4 linked regions of the Arabidopsis thaliana genome follow. The protein of the gene in region 4 purifies or fractionates together with the protein of the main gene of each other region. This does not show direct contact. Each region holds a gene or a part of one and is shown on either strand. Other genes may lie near its edges. The genes, in order: GAMMA CAL2, LHCA3, GAMMA CAL1 and AT5G19760.

Evidence for each region.
Region 1: the proteins of AT5G19760 (region 4) and GAMMA CAL2 fractionate together in Arabidopsis thaliana (co-fractionation; one large-scale study listed by BioGRID). This does not show direct contact.
Region 2: the proteins of AT5G19760 (region 4) and LHCA3 fractionate together in Arabidopsis thaliana (co-fractionation; one large-scale study listed by BioGRID). This does not show direct contact.
Region 3: the proteins of AT5G19760 (region 4) and GAMMA CAL1 fractionate together in Arabidopsis thaliana (co-fractionation; one large-scale study listed by BioGRID). This does not show direct contact.

The regions. Positions count from the first base shown.
Region 1 is NC_003074.8:18,031,450-18,037,541, reverse strand, and holds GAMMA CAL2 (gamma carbonic anhydrase-like 2), read right to left. Parts: upstream 2,608-6,092; 5' UTR 2,436-2,607; coding exon 2,042-2,435; intron 1,146-2,041; coding exon 769-1,145; 3' UTR 501-768; downstream 1-500. Other genes in the region: CXE12 (alpha/beta-Hydrolases superfamily protein), read left to right, coding at 1-356; AT3G48675 (egg cell-secreted-like protein (DUF1278)), read right to left, coding at 2,991-3,350; IDN2 (XH/XS domain-containing protein), read right to left, coding at 3,927-4,163, 4,253-4,462, 4,570-4,857, 4,935-5,024, 5,099-5,820, 5,906-6,092.
Region 2 is NC_003070.9:22,696,940-22,702,500, reverse strand, and holds LHCA3 (PSI type III chlorophyll a/b-binding protein), read right to left. Parts: upstream 2,609-5,561; 5' UTR 2,350-2,608; coding exon 2,206-2,349; exon of another isoform or gene 2,117-2,205; coding exon 2,055-2,116; exon of another isoform or gene 2,009-2,054; coding exon of another isoform or gene 1,968-2,008; coding exon 1,352-1,967; 3' UTR 1,089-1,351; downstream 1-1,088. Other genes in the region: AT1G61540 (Galactose oxidase/kelch repeat superfamily protein), read right to left, coding at 1-3. UniProt on the Arabidopsis thaliana protein: The light-harvesting complex (LHC) functions as a light receptor, it captures and delivers excitation energy to photosystems with which it is closely associated, here photosystem I.
Region 3 is NC_003076.8:25,421,267-25,427,497, reverse strand, and holds GAMMA CAL1 (gamma carbonic anhydrase like 1), read right to left. Parts: upstream 3,532-6,231; 5' UTR 3,445-3,531; coding exon 3,063-3,444; intron 2,533-3,062; coding exon 2,452-2,532; intron 2,263-2,451; coding exon 1,886-2,262; 3' UTR 1,627-1,885; downstream 1-1,626. Other genes in the region: AT5G63520 (F-box/LRR protein), read left to right, coding at 1-149, 333-520, 594-715, 802-1,198; AT5G63500 (transmembrane protein, putative (DUF 3339)), read right to left, coding at 3,829-4,038; AT5G63490 (CBS / octicosapeptide/Phox/Bemp1 (PB1) domains-containing protein), read left to right, coding at 5,528-5,664, 5,825-5,996, 6,104-6,231. UniProt on the Arabidopsis thaliana protein: Involved in complex I assembly in mitochondria and respiration.
Region 4 is NC_003076.8:6,677,589-6,684,353, reverse strand, and holds AT5G19760 (Mitochondrial substrate carrier family protein), read left to right. Parts: upstream 1-2,299; 5' UTR 2,300-2,508; coding exon 2,509-2,625; intron 2,626-3,029; coding exon 3,030-3,113; intron 3,114-3,358; coding exon 3,359-3,420; intron 3,421-3,524; coding exon 3,525-3,886; intron 3,887-4,393; coding exon 4,394-4,608; intron 4,609-4,706; coding exon 4,707-4,763; 3' UTR 4,764-5,048; downstream 5,049-6,765. Other genes in the region: TUA3 (tubulin alpha-3), read left to right, coding at 75-289, 367-566, 678-1,186, 1,278-1,593; AT5G19750 (Peroxisomal membrane 22 kDa (Mpv17/PMP22) family protein), read right to left, coding at 5,227-5,307, 5,610-5,696, 5,807-5,899, 5,990-6,062, 6,218-6,312, 6,589-6,676. UniProt on the Arabidopsis thaliana protein: Catalyzes the transport of dicarboxylates, such as oxoglutarate, oxaloacetate, malate, and succinate, and of tricarboxylates, such as citrate, isocitrate, cis-aconitate, and trans-aconitate by a counter-exchange mechanism across the inner mitochondrial membrane.

The sequences.
Region 1 (6,092 bases), on a different chromosome or scaffold from region 4:
AGAAGGATACGAAAGATGAAACGTTGAGGATGAAGATAGAGGCGTTTTGGATGATGGCAAGTCCTAATAGCAAAGATGGAACAGATGATCCGTTGCTCAACGTGGTGCAATCAGAGTCGGTGGATTTGTCTGGGTTGGGTTGTGGTAAGGTTTTGGTAATGGTGGCTGAGAAAGATGCGTTGGTGAGGCAGGGTTGGGGTTACGCGGCTAAGCTTGAGAAGTCTGGTTGGAAAGGAGAGGTTGAAGTGGTGGAGAGTGAAGGAGAAGATCATGTTTTTCATTTGTTGAAACCTGAATGTGATAATGCTATTGAAGTCATGCATAAATTCTCAGGGTTTATTAAGGGAGGGAACTAGCTTTGTGCTCTCTAGAGATATTGGAATAATTTGGTACTACATATTTTAGTTGCGTCTCTCAGTTTCTGTAATGTTTCAGTGATTGGCTTTTCGCCCAAAGCAACACAATAAAAATTGAAGATGAAAATATTTTAGTACGAGATGTTTAATTCTATAACACTACGAGATTATTAGCTTTTCCAATTGTGAGGGGAGACGAAAGAAGTTTTACACTTTCCAGTTTTCACCATTATCATCTTCATAGAAAGTTTGAACACAAGGATATGAACTTAAACAAAACAAACAGAGAAGACAACATTTGAAACACAGCTCTGCTCTTTTTCTTGTTCCGCAGCTACTTATTCAGATCAAATTCCGAAAACGAAGAAGCTTTCTTAATGAGGGAAGTAGCCAGAAACCTGGAAGAAGCTTTCTAGATGGCGATTCCAAGGGATTTCTTGAACTTCTCAACCTCTAGATAGATAGTTGAGTAAGGCAAGAACTCTGAGAAGTAATCTCCACTTAGGTGGTTAATGGCAACAGCAAGTTTCGGGATCTCTAAGGTTTCTTCATTGGTGAGTGTTCGAATAAACCTTGCTGGATTGCCTCCCCATAGTTCACCAGATGGGATTCTTCTGCCAGGTGGTAAAACAGAACCAGCTTCTAGGATTGAGCGGGTTTCGACCAGTGAACCTTCCATTAGGATTGAGTGTTGCCCGATGATGCATTCTGGTTCGATAGTGCATGATCTTAAAAGACTGTATGCACCAACTGTCACGTACCTATCGATCAATGTTTGTGCTGGTAATCCTGAAAAAAATCAAAGTAGAAAGTATCTTCTAAGATCAGATTTTTATCTATCATATCAAAATTCAAAAGCAGCACCACAGTATGCTCTATCCTTCAAGATGTTAGTATAGAAAAAGCATGAAGACTGGTTGATAATACAGAGCTATTAACCCGAAAAAATGGTGAATCAAGTAATTAAGTACTAGTTGTAAACTACAGCTTAATCAAACCAGGAGGCTGTTGAACTAAAGACTTTGACACGGAATCCACCTTGGTAAGACTAAAAGACGCTTATGTTCATTCAGCTTGACGCAGCTTCAGAATCTCGGTTCCAACCACTGAATATAATATCAACTTTCTGCAAAATTCTCTCCGCATAACTAAAAATCTTTACTATGACATAGTTCCTGAAACTTCTCCAGAGCTGCTAGGCAACTTTCTACAACTAAACAAGATGGTCTCCACCATGCTAATCTATTCAACCCCTGAATTACCTAAATTTTAAAATCAAGCACATATCATCAATGGGTTTCTTGCTTCCAATATCACTAATCACCTAAAGAACTACGCAATTCTATGCATCCTTGTCTAGCTAAACGCAAAATGCTCTGAAGATTAACTTTACTGAACAAATATCATTCATGATTCTTGATCTGGGGACATCTTCACTCCAAACAAATATGCTTACTTACACTTCACTACTTCAGATAAAAGTGTAAAATCTCCTTAAAGGTGAGACTCTACATTTTCCATAATCAAAATGGAAGATGAAAATGAAAACCCTAAATTCCAATATCAATGATTCCATTAGCTAGCAAGCAGTAACTACAGCAATTGGATATCCAGAACTCAAACTAGAAGCTACAATGGAACCATACAGAGACTCAAATTCCGAAAAAATGACAAAGAACAAGAACCTGTAGGCGACGACCACGCAGCATGAACAACACACCGTTCCTGGACATTTGAGCAGAATCCAACGGTGATCTTATTAAGATCTCCTCTCAAAACGGCACCGTTCCATACAGACGAGCCGTCCCAGACGGTGACCTGACCAGCCAACACAACGTTAGGTGCCACGTAAGCATCTACAGCTACCTTCGGTAGCCACTGTCCCAGAGGAATTATCTGTCTCTGGCCTCTGTAGTCCCATTTTACCCGATCCGGCGACGGCGTCACCTGCGATTTCGGTTTAGGTGTTTCCGTCGTCGCCACCGCTACTGCTTCCGCGGCGAAGTAACGCCGAATCAGATTCGATGAAACAGCCGATGTTATGCTTCTTTTAGAGATTCGTGCTAACGAAGTCGCCATTGTTATGGAATCGGATTCTTCAAGGTCTTGTGTAGAGAGAGAGAGAGAGAGACAGAAAGCTTCCCGGAGGAGGAGACAGAGAGGAGTCGTCGGGAGATTCTTCAAAATCTGAAAAATGAAACTATTTGGAAAGTTTTATTGGGCCTTATGGGCTAAGTTAATAGAGGCCCATTAGTCATGCCATTGTCTGCAACAAGTTTCATGTACGATATAATCTTTTTGGTATGGTATTGATATGCGTTCGTGTTCGTCGTTTTTACAAATTTTAAATGCTGAAATATGTTTTATTCCATAGTGTAAGAACAATATTTTCATATATAAACGCAAACAAAATTTTGTTTATGTTATAACCACTCTTTTAACAAACTACATGGCAAACACATACGAGTACATCAAAAAGCTTAGCTTTGTTTATTTTAAGCTAAAGATTACAAAAAAAAAAAAATTACTGCAAGGAGAATTTTGGATTATTGGGCATTGTGATCTCTCAAATCGATAAAAGAACTTCTTAAACCTCGAAGCTAACAACTGGCTCGCAACATTTGTGTGTAGCCTTCACTTGTGTGTTGATGATGGAGTCGTAGCAATACGCTCGCAGTTGTTCTTGAGAATAGGAGGGAAGAATGGGTTCAATGGAAACATATGTGGCCAACAGTTTGTATCTATAGCTGAAAACGTTTTACAACATGGGGCTTCAATGCTAGCAAACTGACCAGAAAATATCGATTTGTAGATTTCTTGTACACATCCTTGGACGTTAAAGAGAGATGACCAACATTTTATGATATCAATAGGAAGACCCGGTGGGAAAAGTCCGGGGATCGTAGGGAGTGCTTGAGAGAACCCTGGCCTCACTTGAAGAACAATGGTCATAGCTAAGATCACAAAGAGAATAGCTCCTGAGTTGTTTTCCATCTCTCTCAAGCCGGTTTTCTTCTTTCTCCTTTAAGGTTCTTTGCAATGATGTAGATGATTTTGGCTATATTCACGAAACTTAGATTTATAGGGTTATAAGATGAAAACAGTGTTAGCATAATAAGGAAGGGGTCAATATCAAATTTGACTACAAAAAGTAACTCATGACAAAGTTTGTTTTTACAATAAAAGGTTCTAAATGACATGCTTAAGATATGAGACAGAAGAGAGGCCAAATCTAGTTGTTTTACATGTGAATTATATTACAATGATATTTTTATTTCTTATTGTCCAAAGCGGCCAAACTCCTACAAATGTTACAATGAAAAGAACCGATGCAAGACATCAAAGTTGTGTCAATTATTCACTAAGTTCTGAGAAGAAAAACAAACAGAATCCACCAAAGTTTGGTCAAACCAAACACATTTCTCTGCAACTAAAAACCGCATCGGCTTTTTATTCAGTCCCATGTCCATCATCTTGCAGCTGCAAACCATCAATCGAAATCCTATATTAGCAAATAACAATTGCAAATGAAAACATATTTTTGTTCGGTTATCAAAAATGGTTAAACCTCTAAGCCATTCCACGCTTGCGTTTCGCCTTTTCCCATTGATCAAGTAAACAAGTGACACCTTCTTCAAGTGTAGCCTTCTTATCTGCTTTGAAGTTCCATAGCTCTGTTGTAATATACCTTCCACTCGGGTTATACTCGTTTATCTCCAACAAAGCTTTCGTGACCGCATTGTAAGGACCATCTCCCAAATCTGCCTTTAGCTCCCTCAGCTTTTCGTCTCTATCATCTATCACTTCCTAAACACAATTAACAACAACACCAAAAAAGCTTTTTAATCTTTCAGAGAGATTCAACATAACAAACAGAGTCAAGAAGGCGGTCTTACCACTTCTCTATCTTCATTTTCGAGCTTGACCCGCTTGAATGGATGCCAATCTGAATCTTTGAGATAGTGTTCCCAAAGTTGGAGAACTTCAACTGCTCGGTCCTCCACATCTTGCTGACAATACTTCTGCTGCATTGCATCCACGAATGGTTTCGTCACGAGCTCTCCCATTCTCTTAACACCGATATTTGTGTTCCATTCTTTCATAATCTATGAAGGCACATGAAACAAACAAAACCAAGATTTTAGTAAAATGTCAAGCTTTCTCATAGCTTTTCGATGTGATTGAAAAGAACAACACTTTGAATGATACATACGTTTACCAATTCTTTATGAGCTTCTTGAAGCTCATCGTTGGTCCTGCGCTCTCTAAGGATAAGAGTTTGGTTAAATTTATCGAGATCTGCGAGTTGTGCTTCCTTCTCACCTAAATCTTTGAAGATGATGTCCACCTCTTTCACAACTTCAGCATCGCCATCTGATGCCATGTGCTTCATCACATTGAGCTGTCCTTTCAACTGCTCAACTTCTAGCTCAATCGCTTGTTTCTGATCTCTCTGTCTTTCTAGTCTTATGATTTTCTCATGAAGCTCCTCCTTTTGCCTCTGTTAGGTACAGAATTTTCTCAGTAATCACGAAAATAAGCCCAACCATTTTTACAAAGAAGAAGAAAGTCACTAACCCTTTGGTCTTCAGCAAGTTTTTTAACTTCCTCGTCTGCCTTTTGTTGTTCCATGGCAGCTAGTTCAAGAGAGCTATTCTTAGATGCATTCTGATAAGAGAAAAAAACCAATTATTTCTTGAACATATATCTTGAAAAGAGAGATACAGAGAGTAAATGGATACCTGTTCAAGATCTTCAGACAATTTCATTCTCTCGGTTCCATTGTGCACTTCGCGCTTTGCCAACTCATTACATTTGATTTCGAGTTTCTTCCTCTCTGACTCCAACAGCCTCTTCAATTTCTCATGATCATCAACTATCTTTTGAATGTGACTCATTGTTCTTTCTTGTATAGCATTCAGCTCACGGTAATGCTTTTGCTGATTCTTCTCCTTCTCTTCCATCAACTGATTAAGTTCCTCTGACTTAACTGAACAAAGCTCCTCAATCTCCTTCATGTCTTTTTTCTTCTCTTCTACAAGTTGTCTCAGGTTCTGCACAAGCAATTCCTGTTTCCTCGCCTCTTCTTCCGTAAGCTCAGCTATAGTTTTCAGATCACCCGTCTTCCTCAAGTTTTCTCCAATAATATTATTACCGTTATAATCATCAGCACGAGCAATCCAACCGTAAAGACCTAACTTGGGACCGTCTTTCTTCAACCAGTCCTTCTTCCCATGACCATCTACTGTATAAGCCTTGTCAAACAAAAGACCATTGTGAAGTCCATTCCAATCTTTGTTAAACTCCACAATAGCTGTTCCTGAATGTCCCAAGTAGTTCCATAAAGGACGAACTCTAGTCGGGTTAAATCCTCTTAGAATATACTCATCCCTTAGCTTCGATCCACTCTCGCCCGCAGATCGACCATCTTGTGCCTTTGTAGTTGGAATATTCACCACAATACCTGTTTCAACCACATATACACAAACACTAAACACACATTGCAGTACAATCTTAAGGAGAAAAGTAAGAACCTTTAAAGTGTGTACCTTTCCAAGGATACACAAGCTTCTCGTCATGATCACAATCTTGAATAGGGTTTCCGTTTTTCTGACGCTTTGATGAAGGCTCTGCTTCTGAAGCTGAATCAGCAAGATCTTGTTGAAGGTATTTGACAAGAGCAAGGTGACTTGCTTTCTCCTTTGCACTTCTTTTATCAGAATTGCTATTACCAAC
Region 2 (5,561 bases), on a different chromosome or scaffold from region 4:
CATGGCGGCGTATGGAAGATCTGGCTTTGGACGTCAATAGGGCAATAACGAAGATTCTTCTTTATCAAGGAAGGAATAATAAGGGTTTCCTTGATTTCAAAAATCGACCAAAACCTAGGCATATAGGCCCAAAGTTAGCATGTAAATGGGCCTTACGGAAAACGTTTTTTGAATTAGGTAAATGAGTCACAAAACTTTTTATATGGATCTGAATCTGGTGGATGAAAATAGTATGAAACAAAATTTGGGATTAATATCGGATATCAAACATTCTTTAGGGGTTAATATGAAAAGCTATCAGATATTATTGTCAGCGGGAGTGACAAATCCTGATCACCGGAAACACTATTTTAGACCGGATCTTCTTACCGGAAATTTGCGTCAGCTTCCCCTAAATGCCGAATTGGCTTCCAGCTGGTTGAATCGGTCAATCTACATACAGTTCAAAAACATTAAGTGTTTACTATAATCGCATGTGGCGTATGCATGCACTTGAACTGTTCGATGAAATGCCTGAACGAGAATGTAGGGTTACAAAGAGTTGGGGTGGTTTCTTTTAGCTATTTGGATCTTGTGAATGCCAGAAGGGTTTTGATAGAAGGGTTTCAGAAATCGCCAGGATTTTTCAGCATAATGACCTTTGAGACTCCAGCGAACTCATGTGATTAGTACAGTGGATGTGGATCTTTTGGTTTGTGTGTGACGCACGTTCCTCCAAAATTTAAATGCTACAAAGGGTTTATATATCCATTAGGGTTTGCAAGTGTTTTGGATGCTGAAGATTGTTACCAGATTTGTCTCCGCAATTGTTCTTGCTTGGCCTTTGTTTATATCAATGGACTAGGGTTCTTTATGTGGAACCAGGACCTAATGGACGCAGTGCAATTTTCTGCTGGTGGAGAACTTCTTTCCATTCGTCTTGCAAGTTCTGAACTAGGTACGGCTTAAAAGATAACACGAAAGAGCTACTTCTTCAATTATAGTTTTGTCTTCAAATCCATTGATAGTGTTTCTCTTTGATAGCACCAACATGGCTTATTGTTAAATTTGTTTTTGTCTTAAATGTCTAAGGTGGTTTGGGAGATACAGAGTGATAAGATGAGACTACTTTTAAAGCATAACAGGTACAGTATTTCATAACATTCTTTGAATATACTAACCGCTTTGTTTGGTTTGCAAATGCCAACTGTTAATCCTAAAAGTTTTTTCGTTTGGCCATTGACATTGTCATTTCTTACAAAACACGAATATGTTTACACAGGGTGTTACAATACGAAGAAGCCAATGGTAGCGAAAGATGGAAATATTGTACGATACAAGAGACATAAAAACACATGAGATGATGATCACCTCAGTGGAACTTGAGGCTGGTCAAGACGTTGTTGTTGACGGGATCAGCCAAGTGATCAAGCAGGTTCTGATAAGGTCCCACACCGGTCACTAGTCCTTGGATAAAGTAACCGAGGATGGCGAGCATAGCCAGTCTACCGTTCTTGACCTCCTTGAGTTTCAACTCCTTCAGTGACTTCTCATCTTTCCCAAACCCAAGAGGGTTGAAGAAAGGTCCACCGGGGTAAGCCGGGTTACCTGAACCGGCCAAACCCTTCTCTAACCCCAAGAAGTACTGTTTTCCCATAGATCCTGGGTTGTACCAGTCCTGTAACCTCCGGTGCTCAGCGAATCCCATCAGAGCCATCTCGAGAACAAAGAGTGTGTAATTGTCTGCCCAGTAAGTGTATGTCCCTGCTGGTGGAATCACACCGGTTTGGAACCAAGGAAGAGCAGTCTCTGCTGGAATCAGACCAGCCTTTCCTAAAATCTCAGGAGCAATAGCTCCAGCTGCACCCAACATGGCGAACCGTCCGTTGATGATCTCTCCGTATGCTAGCCATCTTGGCTCAATGAATCCTCCAGTACCTTCTGGGTCTGAAAGACCAAGAGGGTCGAATCCATAGTCACCAGGTAAGCTGCAAGAAGAATCAGAACATCTCCAAATTTTGAACATCATGAAGTTCTCAAAACAAATAAAATTCCAAAAGTTGTTTGAACATTACCTGCCATCCAAGTAAGAGAGACTCTGCGATGAAGCAAACCACAATGGTCTGTTGGCTCCTTGCTGAAAAACCAAAACACAAAATCAAGATCAGATTATTCAGTACATAGAGAAAGAGAGAGATCTGTGAAAGAATAGAGACTGTCATGTACCTTGACAGGTGGAGTTGCAGCAGCTTTAACAACAAAGGAACTCTTCTTCTGTGAGGCAGACGCAACTGGTTTTGAGCCAAATATCTGTCTAGCTGTCTGAACAGAGGAGGTAAGTGAAGAAGACACAAGTGCTTGTGCTGCCATTTTCTCTGTTCCTCAACTCTTTTCTTCTGTCACCAAGAGATGATGATGATGATGGTTTGGTTATGGTTTGCAAGGGCTATGTTAGGGTAGAAGAAACAAAGGTTCCAAGTACTTGTGGCTTTCAAATAGCCCAACTGGTTTTGCTCAGATTAGATTAGTATCTGCTTCACCAACTATATCTGTCCACGTGGCAATATAAGTTGGATAAGAGATTATGTTATTCTGTTTTTGCTTATCCGCCACACACGAACAAAAAATCTTTACAAAGATGACTATTGGATACAAAAAATACATATGATTTATATAGATTGAAAATTGGAATGGAGATGCACTTGTGTGGTAGAAAAAAATTTTGAACTATTGATTTACGAAAACATTGGAGAGGCTGATACGGTTAAAAAGCATCCATGGTATTTGTTAAACAAGGTTTCCTTAGCATGAATCAGTTCTCAGTTTCTTTTTATACCCAATCAGTTCAAATTTTGATATAACAATTCAACTGATAATAGAGATAAACAAACCATTAATAGTCTGTCAAATACACCAAAGAAAAATCGTGGTAAAACCGAGTTTTAGGCTTGTAGCAACTCTGGATAGGGCAAAGAGAAAGTACATGAATAAAATAGTACTTAATTACTTATTAACTATGTGATCCTTCATCCTTGGGCATTAAGAAACAATTTGTGATGGAAATTGTAAATATTATATTTTTTTTAAACTATTTGTAGTTTTTAAAATAAAAATCTATAATTCTTTTTGATTAAATTATTTTATTAATCAATTTGTAAGAGTTCTTTTTTGGGTTGTTCTATTAAGGTCCTGTTTGTTTGTCCATTTGGATGAACCATCTCAATGAAGATGAAAATTGTTGTTTGTTTTTCATGTTTAAATAGATCATTTGAATGATTCAGTTGAATGTTTTTTTCTAAACTCATCCAAAAAATAAAAAAAATCTGACTGAGTTTGATTTGTTCATTCTGCTGAAGCTGATTCAGCCAAAATTATAAAATGTCAATAATACCCTAATCTAATATATGGAATTACATCCAAAAACCACATCTCTTCTTCACCCTCTCCTCGACACAAAACACTCAAAATTGAGATTCATAGCCGTCAATGATGCTGATTCTTCGCCGGTGATCTCGCCGTCGCCGATTCTTCACTGGAGACTCGTCGGATCCATCGCCGGAGTGTAGTAGGTTTGTGTTTCTCTCTCTCTCTCTCTCTCTCTCTCCCTCTCTCGCTTCCTCTCTCTCGCTCCATGTCTCTCTCGTTGTTTCTCTTTGTATCCTTGTTGCAATCACTTGTTCTTGGGTTTGATCCACCATGGTTACATTGTTTAATTGTGGGTTTGCTTTACTTTGCTTTGTGTTGCTTTTGATTCTTCGATTAGCTTTAGTTTACGGCTTGTGTTGCTTTGCTTGCTTTGTGTTGCTTTTGAGTCTTCGATTTGCTCTTAAGAGGCTTTGTTGTCTCTACATTAGGAGCAACAGAACCATTTGGTGCTGCCACTTTAGCATCTGCACTTTAGCCCTCTTTAGATTGACCATCCATAGTTACAAACTTCAGCTGCCTCCTTGACGTGTTCAATTGCATCCAAAGTGGAATTGTTTTTGTGTTTATAGGTCTTTTGTATTTTTGATGCAGAAAGCTAGGATCCAGATTGTGTTATCTGATTTGTTTTGAGATACAATGATTGATGATGTTGTGACTCGTGTATAGCTCATTGATAAAAAACTTTGCATTAGTCTCTATTTAGTCTCGAAGAACAAGTTTGGCTCTGAGTTTTGTTGATTGATGATGTTGTGACTCGTGTATAGCTTATAACTGCTTATTTATACGGGAGAATTTCATCTTATAAAAGATTTTTTCTCTTCAGTCCTTGTTTCAGCAAGTTTTGTCTCCAAGTAAGAAAGCTTTGGTTTCTCAGGTACGTCCTCTGTAATTAGTGGTTGCATTTGGCTTTCTGTAGTAGTAGCATGAGTTCGTCTAAGGTTTGAGTTCAAATACTGTAGAAATAGTCAAGAATAATATCTCATGATTGTTCAATATCAAATAGTTTTTCTTTGCTTTGTTATCTCTAATCTTTGTACACGTTTTATTTGCTTTGCTTTGTTATCATAAGTTGTGTATTGTTTGCTTTGTTATCTCTGATCTTTGTTTTATTTGTTTGGTATCTTTGATCTTGTTCTAACACAACTACAAAACGTTTGTTTTCATTGTGTGCTACAGATGACAACTATCAATGGTACCGATGTGAGTATATTTTCCTCTAAACTTAGATTTACTGTAACATTTTCTGTAATTTAGACTGATTTTGTACAAAAACACATGATCAACTAAGAATCTTGCGTGGAATGATGAGCAAACTCGTTTCTACCTTGAACTAAGAATTGAGGAGAAGCTTAAAGGAAATATTAGGAATCAGAATGTCAATGATGCTGGGAGACAGACTATTATAGATAGATTTTATGAGGTTTATGGGAAAGACATACATGGAGAAAATTTGGGATCAAGTTTACTACTTGTAAGAAGCAGTATGAAGGTTTTAAGAAGCTGACTCACAACAGAACCGGTCTTGGTTACTATCCAAATGGGAGCATAAGAATGTCTGATGATTGGTGGAATGAACGGTGTAAGGTATATAGATTCTTAAACTTCTTCTGTCCTTTGTTTGTTCTAGATCAAGTTCTCATTGTTTGTTTATTCTCATTGTTTGTTAAGAATGGCCTGGAGCTCGGAAATTTAAAGATAAGCCAGTGGCAAATGTGGATTTGATGGAAAAGGTATTTGGTACAGTGCATATCAGTGGAGCCGAGGGCTGGGCTCCTAAACAAGGTGAAGAGAAATTAGACTCAATGCATCAAGATGATGATGGTGATTCAACGCAGATCCCTATAACTCAAGATGATGATGGTGAATCAAGGCAGATCCCTCTAAATCTAGATGATGATGAAGCAGCGCATATCCTTCCTACTCAAAGCAATGTTGGCAATGGTCCCTCATATTCAAGTAAGTCAAAGAGTAGTAAGAAAAGATCAAGGTCTGTACAAGATGAACAAGGTGTAGCAGAGGTGATTAAGGATAGTATCGAGTCACGGGATAAAATTCTTTCCCACAAGAACCAACTAATAGAGATGCACCCTGAGTTTAGTTGCTGTCAGCTTCGAGCCATGCAAATTCTACACTCGCTGCCTGCTATAAGGGTGTGG
Region 3 (6,231 bases), about 19 Mb from region 4:
CATGCCTGCTGAGACTGTTATTGTGGGTGGTCAAATTGGCGAGTTTTTACATAAACGTGGTAATGAACCAAGAAATGTTCAGTTGCAGAAAGATGATATCAGAGTTCTCGCTGGCTTAATATTTGCAAGAGATAGACACAGACCTGCTCGTAAGTTTCCGTGGTTTTAATATTAGTTTCTTAAAAAACTACAGTACATCGAGAGACACACTTTATCTTTACTATGCTAGGTTAAATATTTCAGCATCGTTCTTTCATGTTGTGCTGGTTATGTGTTTCCGATTAAAATCTCTTCTTTTCATTTTACTCAACTTGTTGAACTAAATGAAGCAGAGGCTGAAAGAATTCAGTTTGACACTGCAATATCAAATGGAATGTCATCGGTTGATCTGAGGTACAAGGCGGCTAATGTCAATGTTAGCCTCGGCCCTAGTTGTCCTTCGACGCTTCTGACTGCCAAAAGAAGAGGAGAAGCAGAGGTTCTTGATGGCGATCAAATTCTAGATGACATAGATAATATTGTAAGCATCTGAAGCCAATCTTTTATCTAATCCTGAAATCAGTTTGGTTACTTAACTGACTTGAAATTTGCAGCTAGAAAACTATATCTGGGAGAATGATTCATACCTCGGAGTAATAAAACGTAGAAAATACTCAATTGGTTTGGAGGAGAAGCCAAAAATCATGTCCTCCCTTGTATTTCATCAAGTGAATGGGTAACGATCGGATCAACAAGTATCATAACATGAATCTGTCCCTTTTGACCCATCTAAGTTTTTTTTTTTTTGGTTTGCTTACTCAGATCTGACGATCAGGATCTTTTAGTTGATGGTGCCGGAATCAAAACCGGCGACCAATTCCAAGTATACCTCCCTGATCTCAAAGTGGCTGAAGCAGCACTAAATGATGTTTCTGCTCAACTTAGAAATCTCAAGTCTAAGCCGAATAAACCGGAAGTCGTTGGAGGTTTTGCTTTCGTCGGTAGCTGTCGCGGTGATTCCTTCTTTGGTTGTCCAAACGCAGACAGCTCACCGTTTTTAGAGAACTTCCCGGAGTTACCGTTTGGCGGTATATTCTGCGATGGTGAAATCGGACGCAGCTTAATCTTGGAGGAGGGAGAGGAAAAGAAAGAAGTGAGCATCCAAAGATTTCTTCACGTTTATAGTTCGGTATATCTTATTGTCTCGTATACATCTTAATATTAAGGTGTCTGTTTGTTTTATGCTTATTAAGAGAATGATAAGTTAACTACAACTAGGACTAAGGAGGCAATAACTCTTGCTTTGCTTTCCATCTCTTATTAATCTTATCTCTTTCTTATTTTTCTTGCTTCTTTTCACTTTGATGATTTGGTTATGTGCAGGAACTTTGAATTTATAGAGTGAGAACAAAAGGGTGTTGATTTACGAATTAATTAGACATGAGTTATATGTTTATAACCTACAAGCAACGGAAGAATTTTAAAGATTTTCAAAATGTAACCCATATTGAGTAAATTCCATTACATAATTTTAGTTTGACCTACGTTCTTCATTCTGTCAAATAAAACGTCACAAGTCCTGTATAATTAATTCTTCTACACAATGTTCCTTTTAGTGATCCCAAATAACGAAAAACCATTTAGTTTAGTTATTTGTTTTGTTTAATTGCTCACAACAACAAAACCAGAAGTCGTCGCCATTATCATTCAGACAATATTCAGCCAAAATCAGTTTTAAATGGAATTTTACAAAGAACCCAAAAAACGAAATGACAAACGTTTTAGAACCAAAAAAGAGAGCCGGACTTGTTTTGATGTTCATCAGCTACTTATTGCAATATGCAGAGAGAAAGACCTCATATGATAGATAAACACATGAAAGTGAATCACGAAAAAGATGAAGCTTCTAAACGGCGATCCCAAGGGACTTCTTGAACTTCTCTACCTCTAAGTAGACAGTTGAGTAAGGTAGGAACTCAGAGAAGTAATCTCCGCTTAAGTGGTTGATGGCTACAGCGAGTTTTGGGATCTCTAGGGTTTCTTCGTTGGTTAGGGTTCTAATGAATCTTGCTGGATTGCCTCCCCATAGTTCACCTGATGGGATCCTTCTTCCTGGCGGCACAACTGAACCCGCTTCCAAGATTGACCGGGTCTCAACCAGTGAGCCTTCCATTAGTATTGAGTGTTGACCGATGATGCACTCTGGTTCGATGGTACATGATCTCAGAAGACTGTAGGCACCTACTGTCACATACCTGTCGATTATTGTCGCTGCTGGTAATCCTGAAATTTTAAAATAGATACCCCAGAATCAAATTTGTGATGTAAAAAAAGAACCAAGATATAAATTTAGCCTTGAAAGATAAACAAATAGTTTCATCAATGTGACAAGTTGAATAGATACTGTTCCGGGTCAAATAAAATTCAGCAGACCCTATCAAACCAGAATGGTCACTCTTCAAATGTTTTTACTTGAAAACTTCCCTTGTCTAAACCTTGGAGCAAAAACAAGTTCACATCCATGTGATACAGCTTTATCACCATTGCATCCCACTTCCAGTCACGAGTGACCAGAAAACCAAATCCTTGCATAAGTCATTAAAAAAACCAAAATCCTTTTATCGAGACATTGTTCCCAAATTTCTGCTAAGAAACTTCCTACTACTACACAAGATGATCGTGTGTGGTACTACGCTAATCTATTCAACTCTCAATATTAAGCTCAATCTTCAGTTAGTTTCTTGATTCCTGTAATGCTAATCACCTAAAGAACAACACGTTTCCACACACATAATCGGCGAAGTTAAAACTCATTATGCTCAAAAGAGTAAGAACAATAGCCACAGCCACAGTTCACTGGACGATTCTTCAAGCAAGAAAATCTGTACTCGAGAGAACACTATTATGCAGAACCAATTTACTTAATTGTCCATATAAGTTCTCGACTCTTCAATAAGCTTTTCATAACTGAAAATGGACAATGAAAACCCCTAAATCCCAATCAACATTGTCTTGATTCCATACAAAAAATTGGATAATCAGAACACAATTTTTTTTGAAAATGGAAGGAAGGAAGCAATAACCTGTTGGGGAAGACCAGGCGGCATGAACAACACACCGTTCCTGTACATTCGAGCAGAATCCAACAGTGATTTTGTTGAGATCGCCGCGCAAAACGGCACCGTTCCAAACAGACGAGCCGTCCCAGACTGTGACCTGACCAGCCAGCACAACGTTGGGTGCCACGTAAGCATCAACGGCTACCTTCGGAAGCCACTGTCCCAAAGGAATGATCTGTCGTTGGCCTCTGTAGTCCCATTTCACACGATCCGTCGACGGCGACACCGTGAATTGCGGTTTAGGTAACTCTGTCTTCCTCGCCAACGCCGCTTCCGCAGCGAAGCAACGACGGATCAGGTTAGAAGTGACTCCTCTCCGAGACAATCGAGCTATCGAAGTCGCCATTGCTATGGATTTTGGATTTCTTCAAGGATTTGCAAAGAGGAAAAGAGAGAGAGTGGTCGTCGAAAGATTCACCTGAAATTAAACGAGATACAGCATATTGGGCTTTTTAACGGACCACAGGCCCAATAATAGTAAAACGTCGTCGTTTCACTTATTAGGTGGATGTACATTAGGTGTCAAGTAGCATTTGAAAACCAAATTAAACCAGATCCCAAACAAACTCTACAGATTGATACCAGATTCAAAAACAAAACTGGATGTTGTATCATTTGGTGAAATTTTGATTATATTCACAAATCCGAAAATGTTACAAACAAAACAAATCCAGACCTTACAATCAAATTGAAATAAAACCAAGCAGCACCGGTTTGTCTGGCTAAACAGTTAACCGGAATAGATGTGGACGTTTATGGCGATGGTAAAGATAGTGATGAGACCAAAGAAAATGATGGCGTGAACGAGAATCGAAGCGCCACTCGTCTGCATATTACCGAATTCGACAACTCGACCTCCCGCCGGAATCTGGAAAAGAAGCCCCGGCGATAGAACTACGAAGAGGATCACGGCGATCAACACTGGGCCCCAATCCGCCATAACTTCTTGTCTTAAAGAGAGAAGAAATGAATTTGGAGAGAGAAATAGAGAGTGGTGAAGGAGCTGGAGTATTTTTGGTTTTAGTTAGAGACGAAGCTTCTCGTGTGATGTGAAAGCTAATGCTGTGGTGAACCAATTGATGGTATCCACGTGGACATACTTTAGGTTTAATTATAAAATTATTGTTTAGTGGGAAAAGATTTCGAACAACGTGAATCTTATACATATGGGCTTTGAGTTTTCGGCCCAGTATTATAATTCATAACTTATGTTTGGTCCATATCCATGAAGCTAAAGTAGCTTTGGTTATTGACTATTGTTGTGAGTGTGACCTCAATTCTTTTCTTTTTTTGGTCAAAATTGTTGTGACACCAATTCTTTTTCCTTTTGGTCAAAACTGTTGTGACATTGATTCATTTCACTGTTTTTAACATTGAAATATTCAACAATTAATATAAAGTTTGAATATTAAAATTTCTGTTTTTTTTTTTTTTTTTGGTTCACACAGATTTCACAACCATGGATGGAACAAATCCTTAAATACATTGTAAGAAACTGAAAATGAGACAGAATGGATATTTTATTTTCATTTTGTTTTTAGTCTACACGTTTTTATCCAGATAGAACACAGAACTTTTAATATCCTAATTAAATTAACCTGTTTTAAGAAAAAATCAGTTTGAATTTTCTGTCTTAGACGAAATCCAATTTGTCCAAAAAAAAGGAAAAAAAAAAATCCAAATGCTAAGAAGAAAGAGTAAAAGGCAAATCCAATAATCAACATATAAAAAATAAAATCCAGAAAAAGTATCAACTCGTGTGTAATAATGACCATAAATAGCTAATGACGATAAAACCCTTTGCCAAATGAGAAACAAATCTTTGATCCACTTGTCATAGTTCTCAAATATTGAGGATATAAGTGTCAATAACCAGATATAAGAAATCAATATATTGCCCCCCCAAAAAAAAAAGCAAAGACCAAAAAAAAAAAAGGTAGCGATCGTCCAATTCGACAGAGCATCGAAATCAAAGAATCCGATTGGGTGAAAATCGCAAAATAAAACGTGTTTTTCAGAGAGAAAAATCACAGAATATTTCTTGCTTTCTAATTTTCTTACATTTTCCCGTCACTTTCCCGGGAGAATCTCTGTAATCTTTCTCGTCTCACAAATCGTCGTTTTCTCTCTTGCCGTTATCTGTCTCACGAACATTTTGAGAAAGGAGAGAAGAGAGCATCTACGAAACGGAACTAATCCCAACTTGGTGTAGCTCAGTTTTTTCAATCCCAGAATCCATTTGTTGACCCGACGAATCCGCCTGGTAATAGCTTTGATTTCACGAGTTTTCTGATTCTTATTAGTGTTTGTTTTTTGGCGTTTTGTTTAGTTTCGATTCCAGAAAAACTTTCCTTATTCGAATTTTGGTAATCATTTCGTAAGCGTTGACGATTACAAGGGTTTGATTTTTTCTATATCATACAGTAGATATGGCTAGCCAAGGCGGGCCAAGACGGAGCTTATCCGTTACGACTGCGTCATTGCACGGAAAGAAGAAATCCATGGATATGGCCGAACGAGGTCTCGATACTGGCCGGAGATCTCTTACTGTTTCTCGTTCTCCTTTGTAAGTCTCAGCTGGGTCTCAATCTTATATATAAACCCTAGTTTATGCTCGTATTCAATTCATAGAGAACATCTAGCTCCTCAGGTTTACCTTATTTCTTTTCCATTGAAGCTATTGTGATTTGGTTTTAACTTTTTTCTCTCATCTGTATATGGAGCAGGGGTTTAACAGGAGGCGAGCGGACTGTGAAACGGTTAAGGCTATCGAAAGCACTTACAGTACCAGCAACAACAACTATATATGAAGCTTGTAAAAGGATGGCTTCACGACGAGTTGATGCCTTGTTGTTGACTGACTCTAATGAAATGCTTTGTGGTATTCTTACTGATAAGGTATGCCACTATTCGCTAAGTGTAGTTAAAAAGTTAGAAACAGATTGGAAGAAGGAAATGGAGACTTCATTGATCTGTGTGTATGTGTGTCTTTTTTGGATTTTCAGGACATAGCTACAAGAGTGATTTCACAGGAACTTAATGTCGAGGAAACACCTGTATCTAAGGTTATGACGAAGAACCCAATGTTTGTTCTCTCAGAAACACTTGCTGTTGAAGCTCTCCAAAAGATGGT
Region 4 (6,765 bases):
CCTAATTCACTCTTTGTACTCTGTTTCTGTGGATCGGAAGATTTTTGAGATACGAGTCTTTTGCGTTGTTGCAGTGATACTACAGTTGGTGTTGCACACGATGCGTTCAATACTTTCTTTAGCGAGACTGGTGCTGGGAAGCATGTCCCTAGGGCTGTCTTCGTTGATCTCGAGCCTACCGTTATCGACGAAGTTCGTACTGGTACTTACCGTCAACTTTTCCATCCAGAGCAGCTCATTTCTGGGAAAGAAGATGCTGCTAACAACTTCGCTAGAGGACATTACACTGGTGAGAATCCACTTTCTGCTTGTTCTAACTTGTTAGGGTTTTTGAAATGGTCCTTAGAATGCTTCTTGTAATTGCAGTTGGGAAGGAAATTGTGGATCTATGTCTTGACCGTGTGAGGAAACTTGCCGACAACTGTACTGGCTTACAAGGGTTTTTGGTGTTCAATGCTGTTGGTGGTGGAACTGGTTCTGGATTGGGTTCTCTGTTGCTAGAGCGTTTGTCTGTAGATTATGGAAAGAAGTCTAAGCTTGGTTTTACCATATACCCTTCTCCTCAGGTACTCTTTCTTTTGCTAGACACTGAAGTAGAAACTCTTACATGACATGTTTCTATAGTGGTCTAATTTGGATGAAACTTGGTTTTAATGCATATTCCTCTGTGATGTCAGGTTTCTACTGCTGTTGTAGAACCTTACAACAGTGTTCTCTCAACGCATTCCCTTCTTGAACATACGGATGTAGCTGTCCTCTTGGATAACGAAGCCATCTATGACATTTGCCGCAGATCCCTAGATATCGAGAGGCCAACCTACACAAACTTGAACAGGTTGATATCACAGATCATTTCATCCTTGACAACATCTTTGAGGTTTGATGGTGCCATCAACGTGGATATCACTGAGTTCCAGACCAATCTTGTCCCATATCCCCGTATCCATTTCATGCTGTCATCTTATGCACCAGTCATCTCAGCCGCCAAGGCTTACCACGAGCAGCTATCAGTCCCTGAGATCACCAATGCCGTTTTTGAGCCAGCTAGCATGATGGCAAAGTGTGACCCGAGACACGGAAAGTACATGGCCTGTTGTTTGATGTACCGAGGAGATGTTGTTCCCAAAGATGTTAATGCTGCTGTTGGCACCATCAAGACAAAGAGGACTGTTCAGTTTGTTGACTGGTATGATCTAGAAATGGATAAAGCTGCTACTGTTTCTACCTTCATGTTGTTATTATATAATAACTCCTTTGGCATGGGTTTTGTTTTGCAGGTGCCCAACTGGGTTCAAATGTGGAATCAACTACCAACCTCCAACAGTTGTTCCAGGTGGTGACCTCGCTAAGGTTCAGAGAGCTGTATGTATGATCAGTAACAACACAGCAGTTGCAGAGGTGTTCTCACGGATCGACCACAAGTTTGATCTCATGTATGCGAAGAGGGCATTTGTCCACTGGTACGTTGGTGAAGGAATGGAGGAAGGTGAATTCTCTGAGGCACGTGAAGACTTGGCCGCACTGGAGAAAGATTACGAAGAAGTTGGTGCTGAAGGTGGAGACGATGAAGAAGATGAAGGTGAAGACTATTGACACCTTTTCTCAAAAAAACTGCAACCAAAAAAAGTTTTTTCGTTTATCTGTTTTCACTTTTGATTCTGTTGATTGTTTAAATCCTGTAAAATATTCGTTCGGTCTTCGTGTTTTATCTCGGTTGGATACATTTTCATTGGTAGAGCGACCATTGCGAGTTCCCGAGTTCATTATCAAGCTTTTGTTGTACCAAACTTTGATAATCTTCTTACAACTGTCCATTTTTCCTTGAAGTATAATCTCGTCTATCGGTGCGCTAACGTTTATCAACGTTCTGTATATGCTTTGTTGTCGTATCAGCTAATAATACATTTATGAGATTCAACTAATGTTAACAAACCACGTTGATCTTCACAAAAGGGCATCAGAATTATCAAATTGCATCAGAAATACTGCTCCACTGGTCCACTATCTAAAATACGGCGTGAAAAATGCCAAAAATTATTGAACAAATACAAAATACAAATACAGAAGATCAATTTTTTTAAAAAATTAGAATTTATTGGACCCAAAAAATTCAGAATACTAACGATTTTCAACTTCATACTAGAAAATTAGAAATGGACGAATGTCAAATCTAAAATTCATATGAATGCGTAATAAATAACTCTAAATATTTGGATTGCGTAAAATCCGAATGGTGAAAAGTAAAGTCCAAATTAATAAATTTAGAAAATATGTCTGGCTTAGATCAGATCTCATATGCAAATGGAAAAAAATAAAAATTAAAAAGGCAAGGGTTTGGTGCAATTTAGTTTCAGTTGGGTGGTGTTAATATAAAAGGCCCATAAGCTTCACACTTCATCGTCTCCTCTCCACCAAGTGAATCTCTTTCTCTCTCTCTTTTTCTCCGCGGAAGGAATCTCTTCTTCTGGTTGCGTTTGAGTCCGTACGAAAACAAAAGAAAAGAGAGAGATGGCGGAAGAGAAGAAAGCTCCAATCAGTGTCTGGACTACCGTGAAGCCCTTCGTCAATGGCGGTGCCTCTGGTATGCTCGCTACTTGCGTTATCCAGCCGATCGACATGATTAAGGTCTGTCAAATGTTTACGGATACACGTTTCTGTATCACCCATCTCTATGTCTAAGCTCGTTAGTATTAACAATTCTTGCTTGATTTGCTGGTATTGATACCTACGAAATCCGTAAATGTTGTTCATCAGATCCGAGTCTGTAGATTTTATCTCTCAGATCTGAGTTTTTGTTTTGGCTTATTATAATCAAATTTCATTGCTCGGAACATAGTCAGACTCGTTTGAGTGTGAATTGTTGCTATTGATACATGTTTAGATGAAATGTTCTAGTTCAGATCTGGATTTTGATTAGAATAACGTTCTTAGGTTCATCACAATGTGTGATTCTTCGCCTGTGTTCATAGGATTTTTAAATGATGTGAATGTAATTAACTAATACTTTGTTTTGTTTCTGGTTGGTGAAGGTGAGGATTCAACTTGGTCAGGGATCTGCAGCCAGTATAACCACCAACATGCTTAAGAATGAGGGCGTTGGTGCCTTCTACAAGGTATAAATTGCATTTCTGGATGCATTACTTATCTTGAAGATGTACGTTTTGTGTAGTATGTTTTCTATTGATATGTTCATGACTTTTGTTGATTTGTAATGTATATGATTTCTGCATTTCCGGATCTGAGTCTCAGCTATTCAAAGAATTAATTTCCTTATCTAACAGTCTTTCCAACAACAACATTAGTTATACCCCATTGAAGATGTCTCCTGAGCTTATTTGATGTTAATTTTTTTTAATAGGGATTATCTGCTGGGTTGCTGAGGCAAGCAACTTACACGACAGCCCGTCTTGGATCATTCAAGTAAGTTAGTCATTCGTCTTTCGTCTTGAGCCCATCCAGATGAATAGATTTTTATTGCCTTATGGTTATGGATAAATCATCCTCTCTTCTGTCAATCTTATTAGGTTGCTGACTGCAAAGGCAATTGAGTCTAATGATGGAAAGCCTCTACCGCTGTATCAGAAGGCACTATGTGGTCTGACAGCTGGTGCTATTGGTGCTTGCGTCGGTAGTCCAGCCGATCTAGCACTTATCAGAATGCAGGCCGATAATACTTTGCCGCTAGCTCAGCGCAGGAATTATACCAATGCTTTCCATGCGCTTACCCGTATTAGCGCTGATGAGGGAGTTTTAGCACTTTGGAAAGGGTGTGGGCCCACTGTGGTCAGAGCTATGGCTTTGAACATGGGAATGCTTGCATCTTATGATCAAAGTGCTGAATACATGAGAGATAATCTTGGTTTCGGGGAGATGTCTACGGTCGTAGGTAAGCTGCTCTTCCAAGTTTCTCATACAGTAAGAATATATTTTTTCTGTGAGCAGGTAGATAGCAGTTAGAGTCAAGGATCCTAAGAATCAATCGTCTTGGAAATTTACATTTGTAGCATATAATCTCCTGATTACACGAGTGTTAGATTGTCATAAATTAAATGTGTATTTCACTTAATACAATCTATCCAAGAACTACACCAAGGAAAATACTTTATTAATGAGAGGACTCTCTAAACTCTCAACCGTTGCCCAAACCCAGATCTAAGACCAATCCAGAATGGATCCCATTGCGTTGTCCTTACTCCCTTTTAAGAGCTACTAATTGTAAGGTCGCTCAGTTGGCAAAACTACACTTTTCTCAACTTCCTAGGCTTGTTACACTAGTTCTGCACTAGACTTAACAAGAAACCTTTATCAGTATTTTCATATGGTCATGTAATCTCTGTATGATAAATTGTAGTTAAAATAGATCTCTGAGTTTGGTTTTTGTTTACTTTAACAGGAGCAAGTGCTGTTTCTGGGTTCTGCGCTGCGGCTTGCAGTCTGCCATTTGACTTTGTCAAAACTCAGATTCAGAAAATGCAACCGGATGCTCAAGGAAAGTATCCATACACAGGTTCGCTCGATTGTGCGATGAAAACCTTAAAAGAAGGAGGACCTCTGAAATTTTACTCGGGTTTCCCAGTTTACTGTGTCAGGATTGCCCCTCACGTCATGGTATAATAGCTCTTATCTCCCTTTTTTGTTTATGTTATTGTAATTACCACTTCGTGATTGCCTCTAAGATAGTTGTTGATCGGGTTTTCTTTTGGCAGATGACATGGATCTTCCTAAACCAGATTACGAAATTTCAAAAGAAGATTGGTATGTGAGGAACAAATACAGCAGCAAAAAAATAAGATGAGAAGAACGAAAACACAATTGGAATTGTGTTCATTTGCTTTTTAATCATATACATAACCTGCCTTAAAAGCATATTATTGTAGCTGTTTGAACTTTAATTTTTTGTTTCGGTCGGTGATTGGTCCGGTGAATTTTAAATTTTCTTCTTTGGTGGAAGTTTAAGACACATAGCCAGAGATTTCAAAATTTTCATACGAACTAAAAAAATTCTCTGAATGAGGAAACAATAAATATATGAAACATTGATGATGGGGAAATATTTGAAGTGCTTGAAGAAAAGCTTGTTTCAACTCTAAGAAAATGTCAAGTGCAGGGTTCCCAAATAATTGTTTCGAAACACCAAACATTTGCATCAGCAGACAAGACCGTTTCCCCAAAACTCTGCCGATAACAATCCAGCAACCACCTCTAGGCTCCAGGTAAGAAACATGTCTACTTTGCAACAACTTCTTTGTGAGCTTTGAATGATAAAATCACATTCCAAGCCAAAGCCACTACGTTTGAAGCAAGTACCTGCAATAATTCATATATAAGACATCGATTCATCCTCAAAGCCAAAGAAAATCTTGCTAAGCATACTAGCTAGAAGCTAATGTCATTCAAGCGTAATTCATCTCAAGCTCATCATGTCAAAGATGTTTTTAACAAGGGCTCAAAAACATGAAAATGCGTAATAAATTCTCAAAGATTATACTAAGCAGAGGATTAACAGCGTGTGGGTCGTTATTCGTTATGTATGAAGCATATCTATCTTAACCCAATTGTATTTTTTTTCAGACTCCCGTTTCATGTAGTCACAGAGTTTAGTATCAAACCTGGTAGTTCTGTGGAACAAATCTGAAGTTAAGAAACTGAAATGGTATCCATAGCTGCCAATTTGCTATCATTGCACCAGTCCACTCCTATACAACCAGCAATTCATGGATTCAATTAGAACACCGCAAAAGATACAAAGTATCAAATTTAGATTCCTGCACCGGAAATATTAAGTTTAGTTAGGTTTTAATCCAACCTGTTGTAGCTTCGGTATGACATTTGATGGTTTTCCTTCAAGTGTCACAACTGCTGATAAGAAAACTCCAACAAAAATAGGAGCAAAAACAAACTGCAAATACAAATTTTGGTGTTAAGTGCTAACACAGAGGAAGCAAGATGGGAACATAATTGTTAGACTGGGAACAGGAAACTTTGCTACCTGATCCAGTAGAAGTCGTATAACTGCGCCTGATAATCCAGAAGCTGTCACCACTTTGCTCAAATACAAATACCTAATGGATGGAGTTGAGAGATTTCAGAGAACAGAGAATAAGCATAAGTAATATACCAATGGATGCATAAGTCTCTTCAACTGAAGAACCACTAGCAGAGACGTAATATAGTTAGCTTTTGCGGTGTCATACGAGTGAAAGGTCCACGGAAATACCAGAAATGCAATGTTGGACCGACTAGCCCTAAGCCCAAGAAGGTAAAGGTGAGTGTCCTCTTCTTGTCCAGCGATGAGGTCTTGTTGATAGTAAGCTGCAACCAAAAGTGATACGAATAAGCAATGTCGCTCACATATCTAGCAGAATACGATCAAGCATTATAAAGAAAATGGGGCTTTACTACATTATCCTGTATTTTGGGTCTATTAGCTTCCATTCTAACTTTAAAAAAGAGATAGCACAATTCAAGTTAAAGTCTGTCTGTTCAGAAATACATAATGCAGCAGCTCATGAATACTGTTTTATCTCGATATATCCTGAATAGTGAAGAATCCAAACTTCAAAGATAGCACAAAAATGAGAGAGTTACCTGACAGATCAAATCTCCAACGAGGTTCAAAAGTGCTGCGGTCACAGCTTTGGTCAAAACAGGAGAGTTTGAGAGAAGAGCCTGGTACCTGAAGCACCATAGAAAAAGGCACACAAAGTGTGTTTATGCTCAAGTCAAAAGCAAAGAATCATACTAGAAAAAAAGTGTTCCGTGAGT